2 linked regions of the Arabidopsis thaliana genome follow. The protein of the gene in region 1 interacts with the protein of each later gene in a pairwise test. Each region holds a gene or a part of one and is shown on either strand. Other genes may lie near its edges.

Region 1 (9,674 bases):
TAACTCTAAGCTAAACTCCCTTTAGCCTAGACTCCAAATATGGGTCGTTGGTGTTCCTGTTCGAATTGGAATGTGGCGACTTGGTTCTTCTCTGGTATGGCAGTGGACTTGAAGTTCATTATGAGAAGTTCTTTCCTCCGTTTGTTGTCCTTCGATGCTTTGTGCATTGGCTGGATTGGATTTTTGGTTGTTCTTGGGTTCTTTGTTGTGATGCGGCTTGGTTTACATCGCGAGAACCTTGTTAAAGAGTTTCAAGGTTCATTAGAGACGGCGGTTTCGTCTAGGAGGGTTAGATAGGAGAGGGTTCAGTTGACCCCATGACTTTTATATTTTTTTTATTTTTTAAGGTTATTCGATTTTTTCCGGCCAAAAAAAAACATTTCCCCAAAAAATTTCAAAAGAGCGGGTCAGAATCTAATTCTTAAAATATGAAACCCCGCACGTATGTGCGGGTCAGAATCTAGTTATATTATTATCAAAAGAACTATAATTGTAGGATTTATAGCAATAGTTATATGTTTCTTAGTCCTCTTTTATTAAGCAAATGTAATAGCAAAGAATATTTTTAAAAATCAGCAATGAAATTTTTTTGAGTTAAATAAAGAATCATATTATAATATACTTACATTAATATATGACTTCCATAAAAAATATTTGTGGCTCCGCCACTGCTAGTGGGTGTTCTCAAACCTGTCTGAGTTGCTTTTGATGTGTCATGCTCTGGATTGGTAGCCAGAGGCAGTTTCTTTGGTTGTTCATTGGTGCTCACATGTCGTCGGTTCCGTTTTTACATTTAGTTTCTGGAGAAGCTGAAGTGTCCTTTTGCTATGAGGTTTGAGGACTGATTCACATAGGATATGCTGGTGGTTCTCGTTTGTGTTTTTTGTTTTATCATTTTTTCATAGTTTTTGATTTTTTTGTTTTAATTTCTTTTCGTTTTTCATGTATATTTTGCAACAAATCTAAATTTAGTATAAATCTACATATACATTTTTGCAGCCATTTTGTGAACTAAATCGTGTAGTTGGAATTTATTTACAATTGCTGCCACTAAATTTTAATGTTTGTTTTTGATAATTAGAGAAAAAATATTCGAATTAAATATTTGACATTTAACAATCTTCCCAAAATCTCTCCCAATTAACTACACGATTAGTTACTAAAATAAAACTTCCAAAATATTTAATATCATTTAATTACTATAAAATTTTTTCTTTTGATATTGCTTTTCTGCATGACTATAACAATTCGATTATAATCGTCAAACCGCAAAGATATTTGATAGCATTTAATTACTACAAAATTACAAAATATTTAGACAATGATTCATAAACATATCATAAATAAGATCAATATTAATAAAATATATTTGTTTTTTTTACGAGACGGGTTGACGGGACAGATTTGACAGGACGTTACTTAATAACAATTGTAAACTATAAAATAAAAATATTTTATAGATAGATACACTTTGCAAACTTTTATATATGCTACCTTTATAAAATAAATTGTTCCTGCGGTGTACCGCGGGTTAAAATCTAGTACTTAATAAATTAAACAAGAAAAGAAAAATATCTAGTCATTATGTGTGAATCTTACGCCACGAATAATTAATAATTAGTTTTTTTTTTTTTTCGTCAGTTTCATTAAACCCATAAAAGGGATACATGGTGAAAAGGATCCCAAGTACAGAAAGCCCAATTAACCCAATATAGCTATTACAATCAAAATAGACGAACACGTATGGGTAAAAGGGACATGTGTATGTGACACGTGTGTAACATCTGCTGAAGGTGGAAGAAGACGCAACCGACTCATTCCTAGCGTTTCCACCGGGCTGAAACTCCGATCAAATCCACCGAACTCTGCTAATCAAATCATCGTTTGCCATCCAAGGATTTTACCAGAATTCAGTTAAAACTCCAATCACCAATTCTCTGCCTTTGCTAAATTCTCTGAGTGAAAAGAAACAGGAATCCGAGTCATCAGATCTATGAACTGCTGGAACATACGACATGGCGAGAGGTCAGATCAGTCGCAAAACACGCTCTTCTGAACTGTTCTACGCCGGCCATCAAGTCCCACTCATCACAATTCACAATCTTAAAGAGAAACCTTCATCATTAGCCGATTACGGTCCATTAGGGGTATGAAGGATTTATTCTCCCCTTGACCAGAATTGAGAAACTGATGATTCTTGAGATTCTGAATTAAGCACTCAGCTTCTAATTCTTCTTCTCCAAAAGAAATCTAAGATCTGCAAAAGGAGAGAAAAACAAAACAAAAAACTAGCCATAGTGGCTAAGATAGACTCGCACTTGGGCGAGAATAGACAAAACCGGATTTCACCGGAAACAAAATCCGACAAAACATCGTCGGAAATAAAGGAAAACACTTTTCTCTCTCTGAAAGATTGTTGTGAGAGAAGAGAGAGAAAATAATTGATTTGATTCTAATGATTTTTTTTTGTGAAGATTAATTAATAATTAGTTATATGTTTATTTTTAGAAAAGCAGATTATCTCCAACAAATATGAAAATTGATTGGGTATAATATGCAGATGTGCATATTTATCTAACTCAGCACTAGTATTTTTGTTTTTATTTATGTGTTTTCAATTTTCATTAAGAAATAAACTTAAAAATCCGGTTAAATTATTATATATTTTTAGTCAGTTCTCTATTCTGAAGATTTTTATTTTATTTTATTGTATTATATTTTTTGTTTGATAAATAAAAACTCATAAACATTTTTGAAATTAATAATTCAGTAACAAATCTGTTTTTTTTTGGCCACATAGTAACAAATCTAAATAATCTTCGACCTTACATCACAAATTCACAACGGTAGTTGAAGACAGTTTAATAGTAAATACGAAAGTTTGTACCAAAGAATCTATTACAATTACTTGGAACTTGGAAGATTTAGTTTCAAGATTTTTAAGTTTTAATTATTAAACTAAGGGACAGTTGTACCCAAAAGATAAAATATCTCTGTCACCTCCAACAACAAGTCTTTATTCTCAAAGATTTGTTTTGTGACGCGTCGGCACAAGTTATGCCGCATAACTATCATAAATTATTTTATTAACAAAAATTTATGTTATGTTCGTAATTTAATTATACAAGAGAATATAATCACAACTAAAATATTCTACTTCTGATTTTCTTATTAATAAATATATTTACTCGGAACATCTTTTTGTAAGAAATTGGTTAACTTTACAAATGCGCACATTAAACCTATTTTCGAAATGTTGAAAGAAAAAATAAATTAACTTAATTTGCATTTGGAAATTAAATCAATTATGGAAAAACCGATGATTCGACGAATCAAACAGAACCGCGTCAAGCAATGCCTCTCAAATCAATCGTGTTCTTAACGTGAGAGAGAGCCCCATTGTTTCTCAAACACGATCGAGAATAAACATTACAACAACAACAACAGAAAAAAAAAACAGAGAGTTAAAAAAAAAAAGAACCAGACATAATGTTGTGTTTCAGATCTCAAAGAGTGTTTATACTTGTGTCTCTGTGTTTACTCTCTTCGTTTCTTGTGGTCGTCACTGGAACAACATCGATTACTGGTAAGACTTAGATTTTTCAAAAGTTGTTTCTCCATTTTTTTAATAGTTATAAGATTTTTCAATTTGTGTTTGATTGATTCAGGGGTTGGTAACGAAGAAGAAAGAGGTGTAGAAGAAGAATGGAGAACAAGTGTAATAGAAAGAGTAATTGCAGAGGAAAGTGGAGAGAACTCATCTCTGATTTTAGCTGCAAAGAGAACAAGAAGAAAAGATCCTGCTGATAATTTCAAACTCTACACTGGTGGATGGAATATAAGCAATTCCCATTATTTGACTGTGAGTCTTTTATTTCTGTGGTCCAAAAATGTTTTTTTTTTGTTGTTGTGTGAAATCTCTCTCCTTACCAGGTGGGTATTGCTTCATTTGACTTGGGTTCTTCTTAGATTCCTAAATTTTGATTAAAGTTATAATCTTTACCATCAAAAGTCTAGTGGAGTTTTGACTGTTTTAACTTTTAAGGTGTAGTTATGATGCTCATGATGAATTAATCAATAGCATAGGATTCACAACTAGTTGGTGCTTGGTTTACTTGACTTGGGTTCTTCTTATATTCCTAAATATTGATTAAAGTTATAATCTTTACCATCAAAAGTATGGCTAAATGGAGTTTGACTGTTTTAACTTTTAAGGTGTAGTTATGCTCATGATGAATTAATCAGTGGATTAGGATTCATAACTAGTTGGTGCTTGGTTTACTTGACTTGGGTTCTTCTTATATTCCTATATTTTGATTAAAGTTTTCATCTTTACCATTAAAACTATGGCTAACTGTAGTTAAATTTTAATTAAAGTTTTGATTCTATGACTAAGTGTAGTTAGGGTGTTTGGTTTATTTGACTTTGATTCTTATATTCCTGAATTTTGAACTTTAAAAGTTTTGATCTTTATCATTTTGTAATATTCACTCTGGATTAATCAATGGAAATTTGGATTAGCTCTATGACTAGCCTTGTTACTTGAATCAGTTTTATTATGCTTATATAGATGAAAGATGTTTGATACCAATTGATATTTTTGATGAGTCTTTTGTATGGTATTGGTGACATACTAATCAATCTCTATCATTCTTTGCTTGTGGTGCAGTCTGTTGGTTATACAGCGGCGCCTTTCATTATAATAGCACTAGTCTGGTTTGTGTTCTTTGGGCTATCATTGTCTCTGATTTGCCTTTGTTATTGCTGCTGTGCCCGTCAATCTTATGGTTATTCCCGGGTTGCTTATGCTCTATCCCTTATCCTCCTCATCTCGTTCACAATCGCAGCAATGTAATTCTCACGAGCTATTCTATTCGTCATCGTTGTTTCTTGCTGGATATTTATGTATCTTGTGTTTGATATTCCAGTATAGGATGTGTTTTTCTTTACACTGGTCAAGGGAAATTTCATGCTAGCACAACCGATACTTTGGACTATGTCGTGAGTCAAGCGAATCTCACGTCAGAAAACCTCAGGAATGTGTCAGATTATCTTAATGCAGCTAAGAAGGTTGATGTGCAATCCAGCATTTTGCCACAAGATGTTCTCTCGAGTATCGACAACATACAGGGAAAGATAAACTCGTCCGCCACAACTCTTTCTGTGAAAACAATGGAGAACCAAGACAAGATACAAAATGTCTTGGACATCATGTAAATATTCTGTACCATATCTTTATCTTTCATCTGTTTTTCACCTTTTTGCTTATGATTTTTTGTCTCTAATTGTTGTAGGAGACTTGCTCTCGTCATCATCGCTGCTGTGATGCTTTTCCTTGCGTTTATCGGATTTCGTAAGTCTTCATGTTATATGCATTAGCAAATTCTTTAACTTGCAGAACTTAACTTGCATTATTCTCATACAGTTCTCTCTATTTTTGGACTGCAATGCCTTGTATATACGTAAGTGAAGTCTCATTTTCTTATGTTCTGTTTTACATTGGTTCCACTATATGCTGAAAAGTTTGTTGTGATTATCAATGGACAGGTTGGTGATCCTTGGTTGGATTCTCGTCACGGTTACCTTCGTCTTATGTGGTGGATTTTTACTTCTACACAAGTGAGTTCTCTTCTCTCACTACCATTATTTGTCTACTCAATAATTGATAGCTTTCTTCAAAGAAAAAAATGGCTTCTGCTTTGTCAGCGTTGTAGGGGATACGTGTGTTGCGATGGACCAATGGGTCCAAAACCCAACAGCTCACACGGCTCTAGACGATATTCTACCGTGTGTTGATAATGCAACCGCGAGAGAAACATTGACTCGGACTAAGCTTGTAACATACCAGTTGGTCAATCTTCTTGACAATGCCATTAGCAACATGACCAACAGGAATTTCCCGCCTCAATTCCGGCCTCTTTATTACAACCAGTCAGGTCCACTAATGCCTCTACTCTGTAACCCCTTCAACGCTGATCTCTCTGACCGCCAATGCCAGCCTGGTCAGGTCCATCTGAACAATGCAACCGAGGTAATCCGAGGATTCCATCATAATATGATATATAAATTCCCAAGTCATATCAGTCTGTCTTATGATTTGTTTTTATGCAGGTGTGGAAGAACTTCACTTGCCAAATTGTAACACCGGGAACATGTAGTACACCGGGACGGTTGACACCAAAGCTTTACAGCCAGATGGCTGCAGCGGTTAATGTAAGCTATGGTTTGTACAAGTACGGACCGTTCTTGGCAGACCTACAAGGGTGTGACTTCGTGAGGTCTACATTCACTGATATAGAGAGGGATCATTGTCCGGGACTTAAGAGATACACACAATGGATCTATGTGGGTCTTGTGGTGGTGTCTGCTTCTGTAATGTCATCTTTGGTGTTTTGGGTTATATATGCGAGAGAGAGGAGGCACCGGGTTTACACAAAAGACTACAACGCTATGCACTCTGAAGATCCACGAAGCAAGGGCCACTGAGAGATTATGTTCTTTTGGAGGTTTACCCTGTACATTATGGTGTGAGAATTTGGTTACCTTCTGTGTAGTGAATGATGGAAAGAATCTTTGATTGTTTTTACATGTTTTGGGAAGTACTTTGAAATGAGATATATATTAATTTGTGGAGCTACAAGATTCTTAATATTGTTCGAACTCGCTGTCTGACAAATATTTTGTGGGATTTTGACATCACTATCTCCGATGCATGTCGCTATTCTTTTCCTCTGAGTTGATTTTTCTCCAATGTATTCTTCTAATTTTTTTCTCTGTTTTAAAGGCATACATTATTGCATCTCCAACCCATCTCTATTTTTTCTCTTATTTTTTTTTTTAAAATCATTTCCAATGTATATCTCTATATTTTACTCTAAAAAGAATATTCTTAGAAATATTCTATTTTTATTTTATATACTAATACCTTTTAATTATATAATTTACAATTTGATCCATATATTATAGATTTGCAAAATTTCCATAAAATATTATATTATTTTAAATTAAACACTAATTATTTATTAAAAAAATATTACATCATATAACAAGAATAAAACATTACAAATTTTTTTAAAATAATACCATTAAAATATTTTTCTCACATATGATCAACTAAAACATTTTAACTATCTTGGCAGATCTACACGCAATTTACCAGACTATTAAATTACTACTTGTATGTTTTAGTTTTCTTATGTTGTTTATTTTAAATTTAGTACTTGTTTGCTTGTTAAGTTTATAAAACTATGTGTTGTAATTGTTGTGTGTAAAATGATTATATGTATTAAATAAAAAAGTTTAAATTTGAGGGACTAAAGTATAAAAAAAAAATTGAATTCAAAAATAAAGTAGAGAATAGAGTTGCTCTATATAGACCAAATCTGCAGAATTCTCTATTTTAAAATCAATTATAGAGTAGGGTTGGAAATTTTTTTTGCATTTTTACTCTAAGATAGAGTAGGTTAGAGATACCCTAACAAATAGAAATCTTTATTTTTAAGAAACTATTGGAGTAAAAAATTGAGATTTCTATTTTTTTCTATATTTAGAAGAAAAATAAAAACAACCATTGAGATGGTCTTAGAGCAAAATGCCTCTACAATAAAGTCATCGTTAAAATGGAGAAAAGAATATAGATGTTCATTGAAGATGTTCAAAGAACGGTCGACTTACATATTAGATTGATAATGTTTATTACTCGAACTAAGGCTACACCGACGACATGATGTAACGTTGTTGGGTATAGTAGCATCAAATCTTTTCCCTTGACATTTGAAAAAATTTACGTGTTTAGTTATGCTATTTTTTTAATCATGGATTATTAATTCTTTATAACAAGCATGTCATCTCATCGATAGATGATTTATCTTCTTTTTCTTTTGTGAAAGCTTGATTAAAAATAAGAGAGAACAAACTCTAGTAAAGGAGGAGGTGTTGCAAGACTGTAAAGCCGACTTTGCTAACGTGTCTGGCTCCACATTAAAGCTTTTAGAAAATTTAAATATTTTAACTTTTTTTACTATATATTTTATAATAATTGAAAATAATTTAAATATAAAAATAAATAAAAATAAATAATAAATCATATATTTATATTTAAATTAGATATATAGGATTTAAGAAATTAGACAAATTTTTTATATTAGTACAAACTGATAATATTTAACCCGCAAAACATCGCAGAACGATTGATTGTTTTTAAAATCATAAATGTACAATTGTAAATCTTTTTAAAATCGTAATTGCAATTGTAAGTCTGAGATTAGTTTTTTACATACTCATAATATTGAGAATTGTTATGAAAACATTTATGTCTTCTTACATCCATTACAATTCTCAATAACCCTTTATTTTTATTGAGGTGTCACATGTACACAACACCCTTAATAGACCTTCTTTCGAACACATGCCCAATGAACAAACGCCCAGCCCACCATGATTTCTTCTTCTCCTTCTCCGATACACCAAGGATGGTTTGTAAACACAAAACACATCAATCACCAGAGTATACCTTCCAGTAGCAAATAGAAAAACTCCCAAAGATTCACTCCATCAACCATAATTTTCTTATATTGGTAAGTATTCCTTCCCAAATTCCTTTAATTTTAAACTTTTGTTTGTTTTGCGCAATGATTGATAGTATGATTTAAACGATGAATCGATGGACATTATGGTGATTAAGATATTTTTAAAATTTTGAAGTGACGTCGTAGTTATGCTAGGGAAGAACTGTTTCGCTATATAGCCAGTGATCGGAGGCATGGTGTGCAATTACCAACCATCGCTACCGATTATTTGTGAGTCTCTAAGATCCACGATTAACTCTTCATCGGGCTTTCTTGTCTCGCTATTGATGTCCAGGCATTGTAAGCTCTCGTGACTATGCCATGTTCATATGTTTACTATTTTCCTCTGTCAAAATTTAGGGCTTCATATTTTGTTTCACTACAAGAAATTTGTTCATTTTTAGCGCTAAAAATCTGCTATCTTACATTATTTATAGCAAATTCATAAACGCCATGTTCTCGGCAGCTATGGTAGGTGTCACTCCTACGATAGCAGTTTTGGAAACGCTATTATATTTAATGATATAATAGCAAAATTAGAACGCTGTTTTAAATAGTAATATAGCACTTTAATTTTTTGCTAAAAACTAACGACGATTTTAATTTCGTGTCATAATAGGTTATTCTATGTTAGCAATTAGTTCACGTTGCGAACAGTTTTTTTTTTGCATTACGTTTGATGCTATGATATATGATTCTTCTACCATAACATTAAATAATTGCTGAGTTTTGTTTATTTATGCGGTTTAGTGATGCTGTAATACAATTGTTCACAACCTGTTTGTTTTTGTTATTATCTGAATTTCCAGAACCCAATATAGAGGAAAAAAAGTCTGAATAGAAATTTAATCTTAAGTCTGAATCAAATCCAACATAGAGAAAAAATTCATACAAATCATTCAACATAACATAAGTCTAAATCATAAGTCTAGTCTAACATAATCAAAGTAGACAACAAGTCTGATTCTGAATTACATAACACAAGTTGATTAGTCTAGTCTAAAACTACTTTAAACTAGCTAACCTGGACCAAAGTGTCTTCATTCCCTGCAATAATCAACAATGTTTCATTTCAGTTTCATATATAAAACCAAAGTACAAGGATCA
Region 2 (9,022 bases), on another chromosome or scaffold:
CGTTCTATTTTTGGTACTGCAGGTTGAGTACCAGCATAATGTACACTTAATTCGGGGAAACCATGAAGCTGCAGATATCAATGCCCTTTTTGGCTTCCGGATAGAGTGTATTGAGCGAATGGTAATGTAATCTGCTTCTGAATCTCTTGTTTCCATGTTTATTTGTCTCATGTTGTGGTTGCTTTGTAGGGTGAACGTGATGGAATCTGGGTGTGGCACCGAATAAATCGTTTATTCAATTGGCTACCTCTTGCTGCATCGATTGAGAAGAAAATTATCTGTATGCATGGGGGTATTGGTCGTTCTATAAATCATGTGGAGCAGATAGAAAATATTCAACGTCCAATTACAATGGAAGCTGGCTCCATTGTTCTTATGGATTTATTATGGTTAGTCCTTAGCTTCTATATGTTGGTCTGCTTAATGTTTTGGTCGAGTCTTACTAATTTGTTAATTTGGATTTGTTAGGTCGGATCCAACTGAAAATGACAGTGTCGAAGGTTTAAGGCCCAATGCTAGAGGCCCTGGATTGGTTACTTTTGGGGTAAGTAATTTTCTTGTGTTTTAATTTTATGTTGTCTGAATTTCGTTTTTCCTCCCTTCAGAAAACCAATAATCTCTTTCTTTTCTCACAATATTTATTCTGTGCAATGAGGTGCTGCTATTGTTAGACCAAGAATATATGATATTTTTTTCTTGAAACCAAGGAATATAGTCTAGTTTGCTCCCAATAATTTACCATATGAAGAAGTGTTAATTGCTTTTGCTTTTCATTTTTACCTGTTCTGTTACTCACCAAAACTTGGCAATTGTAGCCTGACCGTGTCATGGAGTTCTGCAACAACAACGATCTTCAGTTGATTGTACGAGCACACGAATGCGTAATGGATGGATTTGAGCGTTTTGCTCAGGGGCATTTGATAACGCTCTTTTCTGCTACAAACTATTGTGGTATGTACATGGACTCACTAAGTGCCATAACCGGATTTTGATATTTTGATGGGGTTATTTCTGTTTTCTTAATAGTTTTTATACTAAATCTCAGGTACTGCAAACAATGCTGGGGCTATCTTGGTACTAGGGAGAGATCTTGTAGTGGTACCTAAGCTCATTCATCCGTTACCTCCAGCACTTTCATCGCCTGAAACTTCACCAGAAAGACATATAGAAGACACATGGATGCAGGTTCATATTGCTTCATTTCATTACTGAATCTTAGTCCATAGTTATTGACCTGAAACATTGGTACTTAGCGTAGTATGCACTTTTCGCAGGAGCTGAACGCAAATAGGCCAGCGACGCCAACCCGAGGACGCCCACAAAATTCAAATGACCGAGGAGGTTCTCTGGCTTGGATGTGAGGCAGATAAAGAGGCACTCGTGCACATACATACCGCTCCAAAAAACACTTGTAACATCTGCCTCCTGGTGTTCCTCATGTGTACAGAAAAAGATGAGCCATAGACGAGAAACGATGAGGCTTGAAGATATCAGGGGGTGTGTAAATTAAGATGTTAAAAGGTTAGAGAAGTCAGTTTTGGTGGTGGTTTAGTAGTGATTTGTAGAGTTTATTTGTCCGGGCTTTAGTCCTCTCGTTCATTTTTATTCAGTCTGCTGTTTCTTCTTTTTTTTTATCATGTCATATCTTTCTTTTTTCCTCTTCAATTGTCTCCGTTGTTTTCGTTTGTGGTATAGTTTTTTGGCGAGTGGGTATGAATTCTTAGAATGGTAATGGTTGATTAGGTGGAGGATGGTCTGATGTCGTGGGGGGGGGGGGCTTTTGTGTATTTTAATTTTATTGTCAGTTCATACTTTGTAACATTTGTGTTGATTATATGATACGAAAAATTTTCCTGGCTCCTTTTGGTTGTCTAAGCTAGACCAAAAAAGAAGAGAAAAGAAAGAACTTATGCCCTTGAAAGCGACTTTGAGTTGGTTCATGGATCCTCGGGTGATGGACTCAGTCACTCGATTTGCTTGAGATTCATAAATTTATACATGTGCTTTGTGGCCTTCAAATGAAACACTGGTGATGTCGATATGATGTGATTTGGCATCGATGCTGTCATTGGCTCCAAAAAATCATGTTTTAGCGGTGAGAACAAAAAAAACAAAATTTTTGGAGGATCAGATGGTTGAAGTTAAAACTCGAGGGTATTAGATGGTTAAATTTTAATATTGTTTTGGATATAGGATGGTGATTAAAAAAAAAAAGTTTTGATTAGTGTTGGTGCAGGAATTAGCATCTCCGATAATACCAATTTAAACCAAGGAATAACGTGAATAAAATCGAGAATTCGATTGAACCGGGGTATCCCGGCTAGTCTGTTAATGGGCCTAAGTCATGAGCTCGCCAGAAGATTTAGGTCGACAGTCAAGATCGCCATAGGCGGCTTCTCAGGTCGTGTAAAGGGAAAACTTCCATTTAAGAGAAGAGGATCTCATGAAGAATAGAAGTAATGAAGATTTAGACCTAAGATAATTAGAAGTTTATCATATTTTGGTATGTTGGACCCATTGTATAAATAGGGGGGGGGGGTCAAGCCCTCTAAGAGGATCATGACCAACCTAAGACAAGAGACTACTATTACAGAGCAAACTCTAGCTTTTTATTCAAGCAACTTTGTTCTTCTCCTTTGATTATTCGTGAGCTAAGAGAGAAGTGAATTTGTCTAAATCCCTTAGTACAAATTAATTGTTTGATTAGAGAATCAACAATTAGTTTTGAACCTGATGATGTATTGGTCAAACTTGTAATCATCGCATCTGAGTTTGAGGTCATTTTTTCCAACTGTTGTTATACATATAAAATATCCAAAGAATAAAAGCCTTGTACGATCGGGGTATTGGGGTCCGTACCAACTTGTTGACATTTTTTATGTTTTTGGTGTGTGGCAGACTAGATTGAAACAATAATGACTAAGCAACTCAGTAAGAGTCCTTTTTTTGGACTCAGTAAAAGAGTCCAAGTTTTCTTTGAACAACAAAATTTTGTTGAGGTGTGTATGCACTTGGTTGGGAACAAACAAGTAGATGGCAAAGATCATTCGAACATTGGAGCCCAAGTGTTGAGGGCACTAATCTTGTCGATTACAGAAACGAAATTATTTGGGGAAGCTGCAAGAAAAAGTTTAGTTAAATCTTTTATATTCCTTAATCAAAATGTATCATGCATACACTATATACAATTCACTAAAGTATGATAGTTAAATACCTAATTAATATCATGATCAACTCCTACCGGTTCATCTAACTAATCCAGCTCAGCATAAAAACCCTCACGCGTCGCTCCAATTAAGGGGAGGGCTTAACTAGTGCCCAACTTACTGGGCTAGGTTCGACTCCGTTTTTTTATTACATTTTCCTTTTCCATTTCTTTAAGACTTTAACCCTGAAATCTCGAAGTGCAACGCACCACTAATTTTTTATAAATATTAACATAACATTTCATGAGTCCTAAACAAGAGTCTCTCTTGGTCTTTATAAATACATCGATCCATGTACATAAAAACAACAAGTCATCTTTTCTTTCTATCTGAAAGTAATCAGAGAATCAGAAAACACTTGAGAGAGCTGAGTGACCATCAAAAGGTGTTATGGAGAAAGTGAGAGAGATAGTGAGAGAAGGGATTAGAGTAGGGAATGAAGACCCGAGAAGAATTATTCATGCTTTCAAAGTGGGACTTGCTCTTGTTTTGGTCTCTTCCTTCTATTATTACCAACCTTTCGGTCCTTTCACCGATTACTTCGGTATCAATGCAATGTGGGCTGTCATGACCGTCGTTGTTGTCTTTGAATTCTCCGTAGGTTCGTCATCTAGTTTCTATCATTTGAATATGTCTAGTAGATATATCTAGGGAGAATGCAAGAATTTTTGTTGTAAACTTTTGGCCATAATATTAAATAACTTTGGTTTGATGTGTACTTAGGGGCTACACTTGGGAAAGGACTAAATAGAGGAGTGGCAACATTAGTAGCAGGAGGACTAGGAATTGGAGCTCATCAACTAGCAAGATTGTCGGGTGCAACAGTGGAACCTATTCTTTTGGTCATGTTGGTCTTTGTGCAAGGTAAACCCTTATAACACTCTTTACATTTTCAGATTACCATGCGTTTCCAAGCGTTTGGTCAATCATTGTTTGGCTAAAGACTAGATCAAAGAAGATTGGGCAATGAGTAATTAGTATTGTGATATATGTGCAGCTGCGTTGTCGACGTTCGTAAGGTTTTTCCCATGGGTAAAGACAAAGTTCGATTATGGGATATTGATATTCATATTGACGTTCGCGCTGATATCGTTGTCGGGGTTTAGAGACGAAGAGATAATGGATTTGGCAGAAAGCAGACTATCGACAGTGGTGATTGGAGGAGTCAGTTGCATCCTTATCTCTATCTTTGTCTGTCCTGTTTGGGCTGGACAAGATCTACATTCTCTCCTTGCCTCTAACTTTGACACTCTCTCCCACTTCCTTCAAGGTTTTTTATTTCTTTCTCTTTTTCTTTTCCTCATTATGTCTCTACAAGAACATAAATATATACATATACGAGATAGTGAATGTGAAATTGGCAGATTTTGGGGACGAATATTTTGAAGCGAGAGAGAAGGGGGACTACAAAGTAGTGGAGAAGAGGAAAAAGAATCTTGAGAGATATAAAAGTGTTCTTGACTCCAAAAGCGATGAAGAAGCTTTGGTGGGCTACTCTCTCTCTTTCTTTCCCTACTTGCTTCACAATTATGAAATCATTTGGATTGATTTTGTTTTGATATTTTGCGTTTAGGCTAATTACGCAGAATGGGAACCGCCTCATGGACAATTTAGGTTTAGGCATCCATGGAAACAATATGTTGCCGTTGGTGCATTACTCCGGCAGTGTGCCTACAGGATTGATGCCTTGAATTCATACATCAACTCAGATTTTCAGGTAATCGCTAACTTTTTGTTAGGTGTTTGCATATTTAATTAAAACAAAATTTGAAAATACATAAAAGAAGAAAAACTAATATGCTATTATGCTATAACTATTTTTGATCTAATACAATATATATATCTATATATATATATATATATATATTTACATGTCGCAAATGCAAACACAAAAATAACATCAGGTTGAAATTCTTAGTCTGTTAATTTGTTTATATAGTTTTTTTTTTTAGTGTAAACATGTATAGTAGTATATGTTTCTGGTTAACGTGTTTCTAACCCTTTGTTTATTTCTTATTTTTTCTATTAGATCCCAGTGGACATAAAAAAGAAATTAGAAACACCATTAAGAAGAATGAGCTCGGAATCGGGAAACTCAATGAAAGAAATGTCCATTTCACTAAAACAAATGATAAAATCATCTTCTTCTGATATCCATGTCTCAAACTCACAAGCTGCATGCAAATCTCTTTCTACTTTACTTAAATCAGGCATCTTGAACGATGTTGAGCCTCTTCAAATGATCTCATTGATGACGACTGTCTCCATGCTCATAGATATTGTTAACTTAACCGAAAAGATCTCGGAATCTGTACACGAGCTTGCATCCGCTGCAAGATTTAAGAACAAGATGAGGCCGACCGTGCTATACGAGAAGTCGGATTCCGGAAGCATTGGTCGTGCCATGCCAATAGATTCTCATGAAGATCATCATGTTGTCACAGTTTTACATGACGTTGATAATGATAGATCAAACAATGTTGATGATTCACGTGGAGGGAGTTCACAGGACTCATGTCATCATGTTGCCATAAAGATTGTTGATGATAACTCAAACCATGAAAAACATGAAGATGGTGAAATACATGTACATACATTAAGTAATGGGCATCTTCAGTAAGTAATTCAACTCATTATTTGAGGAGCAGTCTTTTGTACCCGCAAGATTATAGAGACGAGACCATCGGTATATAACATATTCGGGTATTTCATTCAGATTTGAAGTTTGTTACAAATACTATTGTCGCCTTTGATCATTTTTGAACTATTGGTCACACATTTAATAAAGTCTTGGTCTTCGTTTTCCTTTGCGTTACTCTTTTAAAGATTTTTATATCCAACTGATCAAAAAATTTAAAAATAGCATGGTTTTATTTTTGGATTATGGTGTTTTAGAGAGCTAACCTCAGTAAATAAAAGAACATAGACCGGCGCCAGATAAAGACAAGTCCGGCAAAAACTCTAGATTGTTATTTTCTATGAATATAATTAATTTTATTCCAAACATATATCGTATGAAAAAAAAAATCATTTATCATTGGAGGAGGCGGTGATCAGGCGCAGTGAGAGGAGGAGTCGGTTAACAAAAGTGGTCTTGGCCAGTGCCAAAGCGTCATTGTAATCGCTTTCAATTCTCAAAACCAATACGGTAATATGCACAACTAATAGAATGTTTCAGGTGACAAATTTTCTCACTAAAGTCAAACTTTCATACTTGCCGATGAAGTAACAAACATACAGTACGTTCAATACATTAAGGATATATATAAGAAACAAAAGCTGGAAATTGTGTGAATTTAGCTAGGTTAGATTATAGTATAATAAAGTTGCCTTGTACGATTGGGGTAATGGCTAATGGATTCCGTACGTTGATGCCAACTTGGTATTGGCAAGGCTGAGTGTGACTCGGTGCAAAAAGCACCAGCTGCTATCTAATTCCGCGTTCTAACCAATACTACATTTTCATTTATTATTACTTTTTACAATCCATAAATCTCTCTGCTGTGGAGGGTTGATATAAGATCCGAAACTTCTTTGTTGATAAAAAAAAATCTAACAATCTTCCAAGTTCAAATCTCACTCAGGAAATATGAATGACTGAATATTTAATTAGATATTATCGAAATTGTGATTCTTGTTGACAAAAAAAAACAAATCTCATAAGAAGTGGTGATGTCAGTTTTCGTTGAGAGAAAGAGAATTTAAGTGGATATGTTCAATATACAAAAAAAAAAAAAAAAAAAAAATTGGACAATTTGGTCGAATATTAATAAGGTAGGTCTAAATATTAGTGAAAGTAACATATGTGAATGCCCAAAACGGACGGATATTTTACTAGCTTTGAAACAAAGAAACGATGGGACAAAATGACAAATTGAATGTCTATTTATTTGGAGTTTGTCATGATTATTCATGTCAAAAACGCAAACTATTATTAATAGACTGTTTATTTTATTATTTTCTTACACTCGCCGAAAATGTTCAGAATCGGAAATAATTAGATGTAACGTTCCTGTAAAAAATGCATTGAGTTTTAATTTTATTTTATTTTCTTAAAGATAAAAAATTTCTGTTAAATGAAAAATGAAAGAGTTGTGAATTACGTTTTTTTTTTTAATATTGATTATAAATGTACAGCTAGCAACTTTAAAAATGGTTAGAAAACAAATGTTGGATAGCACTATTTTATTTTTACATAAAGAAAATCTTTTGGACGTGGAATTTTAATAGAAATTTCGGAAATAAATTAAGAGAACAATACTAAAGTATGCTACTAATAGCCGCTTTTAAATATCGGATAAATCAGCACCAAAGTAGAACTTGGTTACGTAAGTACTAGTCTCTGCCTCTAATTAAAAATACTCTGTCTCCAGTTAATTATATTTCTCATTTTCAATTTCTTTAACCCTCAACGTACGATATGAAGTACAACGCACCACTGATTTTTTTCTTAAAATAATAAAATAACATTTCACGAGTCCCGAACAGGACTCTCTAGTCTCATAATGCTCATTATAAATAACGACGATCCATCCGCTCAAAACAACAAGTCATCTTTCTACTTCTTCCTCTCTTTCTGAAACTTATCAGAAAGTTGAGTGATAATCAAAGGGTGTAATGGAGAAAGTGAGAGAGATTGTGAGAGAAGGGAGGAGAGTAGGTAAAGAAGATCCGAGAAGAGTAGTGCATGCTTTCAAAGTGGGACTTGCTCTTGCTTTGGTCTCTTCCTTCTATTATTATCAACCTCTCTACGACAACTTCGGTGTCAATGCAATGTGGGCTGTCATGACCGTCGTTGTTGTTTTTGAATTCTCTGTAGGTCAGTATTCGTCATGTGATCAGAATCAGCCACTTTCTACCATTTGAATATGTCTAATATTCAGCGATAAACATTTTGTAGATTTTTCTGTATAAATTTGGCTACAAAAGGTTGTTTAACTTTTGTTTGGTGTGTAATTAGGGGCCACACTTGGGAAAGGACTAAATAGAGCAGTGGCAACATTGGTAGCAGGAGGACTAGGGATTGGAGCTCATCACCTAGCAAGTTTGTCGGGTCCAACAGTAGAACCCATTCTTCTTGCCATCTTTGTCTTTGTCCTAGGTAACCCTCATAACACTCATATTTTTTTATTTTTTTTATATGAAATTTTGATGATTTGGTCCATATAACCTTTTCGGACGGGGGCTAGAGCGAAGAGTCTAGAAAACATGCATATATGCATACATTTGTCTCGAATTAAAGAGCGAAGACTAACAATATATATATATATGCAGCTGCATTGTCGACGTTCGTGAGGTTCTTCCCGCGGGTGAAGGCAAGATATGATTATGGGGTATTGATATTCATATTGACGTTCGCACTGATATCAGTTTCGGGGTTTAGAGAGGACGAGATATTGGATTTGGCGCATAAGAGACTATCGACAGTGATAATGGGAGGAGTTAGTTGCGTGCTTATCTCTATCTTTGTCTGCCCTGTTTGGGCAGGACAAGACCTTCATTCTCTCCTTGCCTCCAACTTTGACACTCTCTCCCACTTCCTTCAAGGTTTGTCTTTTCCTTTGGGTTGATTATATACAATCCTTACCTAAAAATACCTCTACAAATTAAAACAAACTTTTCGCCCCACAAAATACTACAATGTATAAACTTCTTGAAAACTTTATTTTGGGAAAAAGATTTACGGTATTTTTTTAGATTTCTCCTACCTTATATTCAATTATGAATTAAAAAGTGGTAATTTGGCAGAATTTGGGGACGAATATTTTGAAGCGACAGAGGATGGGGACATCAAAGAAGTGGAGAAGAGGAGAAGG

What was found.
Region 2: the proteins of AT2G12400 (region 1) and ALMT1 interact in a protein complementation assay, tested with the Arabidopsis thaliana proteins (one large-scale study listed by BioGRID).

Annotation. Positions count from the first base shown.
Region 1 is NC_003071.7:5,001,956-5,011,629, reverse strand, and holds AT2G12400 (plasma membrane fusion protein), read left to right. Parts: upstream 1-3,187; 5' UTR 3,188-3,489; coding exon 3,490-3,586; intron 3,587-3,668; coding exon 3,669-3,862; intron 3,863-4,669; coding exon 4,670-4,851; intron 4,852-4,928; coding exon 4,929-5,213; intron 5,214-5,294; coding exon 5,295-5,353; intron 5,354-5,425; coding exon 5,426-5,462; intron 5,463-5,547; coding exon 5,548-5,619; intron 5,620-5,706; coding exon 5,707-6,031; intron 6,032-6,111; coding exon 6,112-6,486; 3' UTR 6,487-6,746; downstream 6,747-9,674. Other genes in the region: AT2G12405 (uncharacterized protein), read left to right, coding at 40-288, 737-838.
Region 2 is NC_003070.9:2,655,204-2,664,225, forward strand, and holds ALMT1 (aluminum-activated malate transporter 1), read left to right. Parts: upstream 1-3,398; 5' UTR 3,399-3,596; coding exon 3,597-3,807; intron 3,808-3,929; coding exon 3,930-4,070; intron 4,071-4,203; coding exon 4,204-4,476; intron 4,477-4,570; coding exon 4,571-4,692; intron 4,693-4,779; coding exon 4,780-4,923; intron 4,924-5,235; coding exon 5,236-5,826; 3' UTR 5,827-6,107; downstream 6,108-9,022. Other genes in the region: BSL2 (BRI1 suppressor 1 (BSU1)-like 2), read left to right, coding at 23-121, 190-389, 469-544, 816-951, 1,046-1,185, 1,275-1,361; AT1G08440 (aluminum activated malate transporter family protein), read left to right, coding at 7,824-8,025, 8,167-8,307, 8,481-8,753, 8,955-9,022. UniProt on the Arabidopsis thaliana protein: Malate transporter critical for aluminum tolerance. The STOP1 transcription factor is required for ALMT1 expression.